Linked DNA regions of Coturnix japonica. The protein of the gene in region 1 purifies or fractionates together with the protein of each later gene. This does not show direct contact. Links are inferred from orthologs where the notes say so. Each region holds a gene or a part of one and is shown on either strand. Other genes may lie near its edges.

Region 1 (3,500 bases):
GGTCTTTTCCACGTGCTGTACAATGAACTCTTCGTACTGTCTCAGATTCTTGCTGATTTAATATGAAATCCACATGTATTGGCAGCCCTCATCTGATGAGAGTCTTTCCAGAAGGCTTGGTTGTGCCATAAGAGATCCTTTTCCTTCTCTGCAGCTGGCTTAGTAATTGAGTACTTCAAGTCCTACTGAACAAATAACAGGAAGCTGAGTTGTGAAGAAATGTTAAAATTTGTTCCAGTTGTTCAAAACAACTCCTGGAGAGATTCATCCACCAGTGAATGAGCTCCTGCTCAACACATCTGTTGTGCTGTGCCTCTACCCTCATCGCTTCCTTAGAGAAGAGATCACAATGGAAGACTGAGAAGCAAGTATCGGAACACAGTCGGTCATCTTTGCAAAGTGTGTAGCTCAGTTTCTGCGCAGCCTGAATTCCTTTTTTCATTAGGCATAATTAATTGAAGCCACCCTCAACCTGTGCCATCTGTCTGTGCAGGCCTGTGTGCCCACTGTAGTGAGGTGAAGGAGATTGGTCTGCAGGTGGAGTTCTCAGCAGGTCGTTAAACAACTTCTTATTCCCAATCTGAGATTTCTCTTTGCCTTCCAGTATAAATCCATCCTCTGCACCTTCTGGATGCTTGTACAACTTCTCTCATCCTTTTGCTGCTTCGTGTGCTCACTGCCATCTGTATCCAGCAAGTTCATGTGACCTTATTACGTGTTGTTTCTATATGTAGTTGAGTCTCATTTCTTCCTTTTGTTTTCTCCCTTTGTTCCTTTTGTCACTTTGGTGTGGACACGCAACTTTCATCAGACAAAGGCGATGACAGAAATGCAGGGGAGTCTGCTGGAGTCAAATGAGGTACTGATCCTTTCTATCTAACTGGTGATACGTGCTTTTGATCGGAGCCCCTTCTGAAATGAAGGGCTTTCGTATAAGGAAACAGCAAACGTAGAGAATATGGAGCTTTTCTGTCCATGCCTGTTGTCTCACTGCACAGTGTAGGGCTCTCCGTAATTAGTGCCTTTTTTCCTTCTTGATCGTCCCATAAACACTTCCATCGTGAGTCTCTTATTTTCTCTTGCTGTTTTTCCATATCTTCCTATCTGCTTTGGCTAACTTTCCATTAGTGACTTGTTCTTAAAGCTTTGGACAGGCTTTCCCAAGACCCACGAATGCAGCAGTGCCTTCGAGCAGCTATCTGTTAGATCAGGGCACTATCGAGAGTTGCCAGTACATACAAATGAAGTGCTTCCAAAGATGATTCAGAACAGACAGTCTATGTGGTATGTCTTCTACCACCTAAGCTCAAGAGGAGAATGTGCCAAGTCTTCTATTGGTGTTTTAAATTAGCTAGAGTTATTTTGGGTAAAGAAATCCTCAGGTTACACACAGAACTTGCTACTTGCTGGCTTTAGTGGTTAAACCAAGGTTCAGTTGGGGAAAATGCAGTATTTTGGTAGACTGTAGAGTTCCTTTTTTAAGCAGTAGCAGTGCAGGGAAGTAGATGCACAGAACTACTACTTCTGCCTCTCGGAAGAGTCACTTGACTGCCAGTAAGTTGGAAATAACATCTCAGTACCCTGCGGTGTTTGAGACAGTAGGTGAGACACCATCAATAGGAAACGAATCAAAACCATAATGAGGGGCATTGCCTGCTCTTTGAATCACTGGTGGACTTCTGCTTTAATATTCTCATTCTGCCCGTGCTGTCAGGTAGAGACGTGGAATGACTCTTGTCCAAAAAGCATCTGCTGAAACCAGCTTAGGAGTGCAGAGAAGAGATCTGAGGGATGAGAGTGTGGTTCAGATCAGTAGAACCAGGAGTCTCTTAGGGAGCAGCTGCTGCACAGAACACGTCCCAGTGAAATATGTTTGGAGTAAACCAGCGTGGAGCAATACTTCTCACTGTGCCTAATTAAGCTGCAGGTGCTGTGGATGCCATACATCCAGCTGAGCTTGGAAGGGATCATTAGGGTGGGGGGTGGGGGGGGTAGTGCTCTTGGTGGCTCTGTGCATTCCGGTGCTTGTGACTGACTCGAGGCATTCCCAAAAGCAACTTTCTGCCCTTTGACTTCAGCCCTCTGTGTATCCATTGGCTGCTCTGTGAAGGATCCACAACAGGTAATTAAGAGGTGTTGCACTTAATTGCACAGTATGTTGCCTTTGAAAGTCAGAAAGTCAGTATATTGTGTAACTATACCACAAGAAAAGTAACTTACGGTCAGAATGCCTAAGCTTGCATGTGGCACCTACATGTTAGGCAAAAGAGCAAACAGCCAGAAGTTGGGTGTTAGAGAGCTGTGGATTGTCACGTTTCCAAAGTGCGATGGCTGGGCTTTTTAAGAGACAGTACTGGTCTGATCCAGTGTGGTTAATTCTACATTCTGCATGTCATCATAGGAGCCAAAAATGGGCTGCTTGTATAGAAAGTTAATTGTGCTGAGTAGGGGAGACAAAAACACCTGTTGCTTGTTGTGTTCAATGTATAATGACTTGAAATATTTGGCCTGCTCCGCATGGTAGGATGCGGGGTGTTGAGTCTTGAGTGCACCAGCAAGCACTGGGGGGTTGTTTGGTCATGGTGATGCTGGTAGGGGCCCTTCCTCAGTGGAATTTGTGAGGTGGGTTCTCTTTTAGCCTTAATTGTGTTAATTGAATTGTGTTAGTTACCTCAGTTATATTCTGTCTGAACTGTGCTTACGCCTCTTCCACTGTTTGCTATGGCTGAATACCAAGGTGGGGTTCTTTTGGTTTCCAGTGCTTGAAGTGCTTAACACGAAGCGAAGCAAATGAGGACATGTAAAGCACTCATGGAGCAAAATAAAGATGGCTTATTGAGTGCACATTGCACAAGACTTGAATGAATAGAAACTTAAGGTTCCTCAGGTATGAAACGAGAGGAAGCGAAATGCTGGAAAACAGAGTTCTGTATTGGAATGGTTGGGGCCCAGGTAAGCTGAGCCTTGTTAATGTGAAAGAATGCCAGAGCTCCTCTGAATTGTCTTGGACATACAAGATATGTTCCAGCACACTAATGAAGTTAAGGCAGAGAGCGTTTGCTGTCCTCTGCGTGGTGTCAGTGCTCTGCAGAAGTGGTGCAGTTGATGCACAGCGGTTCCTGCTGTATCTCTTACCATGCTCAGGGTGGTGTGTTTGGAGGTGAGCTCAGGTGCCGTGTCACTAAGAGTGCAGCTGCAGATGAAAACCCTTCGGTGGTGATCTGATTACTCAGGTGAAAATTGTTCATTTCAGGCTCATGCTGAGGACTCGGTAATGGATCATCACTTCCGTAAGCCTGCCAATGACATCACATCCCAGCTGGAGATCAACTTTGGAGACCTTGGCCGCCCCGGACGCGGTGGCCGAGGGGGCCGGGGTGGCCGAGGACGTGGAGGCAGGGCCAGCCGTGGGGGCAGGACTGACAAGGTGAGCAGCCAGAGCTCCCGGCTGTGGGGCAGCTGAGCTTGTGGCACCCACACTTTCCCTTCTTGTACACTCT
Region 2 (2,210 bases), on another chromosome or scaffold:
ATTCCCTTCACTGTGGCTTCCCAGATGACTGCTGGTCATCAGTGCAAACCAGCCAGGCTCAGACACTCTAGTCTGAACACCTCTGTAAGCTTCAGGCTGCTCTGATCAAAGGAAGATCCTGTTTCTAAACGCAAGCAATCTTAGACCAAACCTTCAGCAGCCAAATCCTCTCCAACCCATGCAGCATCAGGGGAATCAGGTAAAGAGCTGCACACATACATGGAATCAGCAGAGCCAAACTTAGTCACCTTCTGTTCATGGGGAAGCAGTGAGAACAGGACTAGTGGCTTCCCTTCTTTGAAGCTCTCCATCACTGAGACGGGGACATTGCAGACATGTAATGTAACATACCAGCCAACCTGCCAAGAGAACATCAGATATGAATACCTCTAGCAGTAGAAAAAAAGTGTCAGGACACAGATACAAGGCCAGGATTAGAGAGGGAACCCAAAAGAACAGCATCAACTGGAGTTACCGAAGCTCCTTCAGTCTCCTCTTTCTCTATTTGCCGGAAGAGGTGCTTTCTGGTTCGGGAGAAGTCCTGGAACTGGTAGATCCTTGCATAGTCCCTTGGGAGATTCTCTTTGGGGTCCCATGGAGAAGTCCTGAAGCTCTTGAGCCCTCGGTATTTCTGGAACCTTAAGGACAGACAACAGGAAAAGACAGATTCACAAATCCACAAGGACTAACACTAGGACTCTGCCTTCCTCTTTTCTCTCCCAGCTCAGGACAGGTTCTTTCTGCCCCAAGGAGCAGCACAATGTCTCAGCTACTATCCCCCCTGGAAGCCTCAGAGCCTAAAGGTTCATCTTCAGAAGAGTCCTTCAGCCAGGTTCAGACATCATGGCTAGGACATCACTGGCTTCCTGCCCTACCTCAACAAACCAGAGAGAAAAACCCCTTCTAGCTTCTCTCCCAGCATCGCAGGTTTCTTACCGGACTCTGGCAGGCACATCACGTGGTGTGTCCACCTCATCTGGAAACATCTCATCCATTCTCTCCTGTTTGTATTTCTCCAGCATCTGTTCATCTTCCTCCATCTTCTCATCGTACTGGTCATCCCGCATGCACTCAGACATGGTCATGGTCTCACATTCCTCTTCTGCAAGCTCTTCTTCCTCCTCACTGCTTTCTCCCTCCTGCCACATAGGAGAGCACAGGGAATCTTATGTCTCTGCAGTACTGCAAATCCTGTAGGTATTTGCACAGTGTGACTTATAGCCCAAGCTATAACACAGCCCCCTATACACAGCCCACACTATAACAACAGAGGAAATTCAAGCAAGTCTTATCTCAGTATTGTGTTCTTGCATAGGGAGAGCTACAAGGACAGGACTGAACTAGGATATGCAGTGGCATCCAGAAGATGACTTTCAGTATCAGATCTTAAGAGTTACCTGGGAAACTGCCTCTTCCATCATATCATCACCAAAATCATCATCATCATCATCATCATCACCTTCCTCACTGCCTTCTTCTCCATCATCCACGATCCATGCAGCCTGGTACTTGGATGTACCCTTGGGGACCTTCACCACCCTTTTGTTCTCCTTTTGAGATGCTGTGGGAATTCCCACCAATGGTTAATACAGGTACATTTACAGCATTTACACCAGGAGAACCAAGCCCACCTCTAGAGACCAGAGTCACTATTTCCCAGAATAGAATTTGTCAGAGCCTAGAAAAGGCAGCTAAAATGTAACCCTGCTGTAAGGCAAACCAGCCAGCCCTGCAGTCAGGTGAGGGGAACCAAGAACAGAGGTCACATAAAATGGTTTGGTTCCCAGCTGGCTTGTTTCTCCACAGTCCCCTTCAGCTATCCCACCAACAGGTGGATTCTAACAACCCTTGTAAGAGCAACAAGGGAAAGGTAGAGAAATACTGCTGCTATTCACCCTCTGCTTCTTGCAGTTCTTCTTCGGTTGGCCACGTCTGCTCCCCTTCCATAGGATCAGGAACCACTTCTGACTGCAAAGATTCCTGTTTGCTTGTATCTGCCTTCATCAGGATTTTAACATCTTCCTCCATCTCATCAGTACCATTCGCAGAGTCTTCCTGAAGAACAAAAGCAGAGTCCCCAGCTATGAAGTTATCCATCTGAAGCTAATAACCACTTTAAAGCCAAGGACAACAACTCCCACAGCCCCTGCTACCAGAAAACATCCAAGAAACAGCAGAAACTCCCTCCAGTGTCACATCAGTTATGCTGC

Evidence for each region.
Region 2: the proteins of SERBP1 (region 1) and TSR1 purify together in Homo sapiens (affinity purification with mass spectrometry; 3 studies listed by BioGRID and IntAct, with this or other methods). This does not show direct contact. The link is inferred for Coturnix japonica from reciprocal best matches to the Homo sapiens genes SERBP1 and TSR1.

Annotation. Positions count from the first base shown.
Region 1 is NC_029523.1:25,833,285-25,836,784, reverse strand, and holds part of SERBP1 (plasminogen activator inhibitor 1 RNA-binding protein), read left to right. Parts: intron 1-811; coding exon 812-859; intron 860-3,253; coding exon 3,254-3,427; intron 3,428-3,500. UniProt on the Homo sapiens protein: Ribosome-binding protein that promotes ribosome hibernation, a process during which ribosomes are stabilized in an inactive state and preserved from proteasomal degradation.
Region 2 is NC_029534.1:4,412,047-4,414,256, forward strand, and holds part of TSR1 (pre-rRNA-processing protein TSR1 homolog), read right to left. Parts: intron 2,056-2,210; coding exon 1,896-2,055; intron 1,562-1,895; coding exon 1,398-1,561; intron 1,140-1,397; coding exon 937-1,139; intron 871-936; exon of another isoform or gene 778-870; intron 639-777; coding exon 476-638; intron 360-475; coding exon 249-359; intron 1-248. UniProt on the Homo sapiens protein: Required during maturation of the 40S ribosomal subunit in the nucleolus.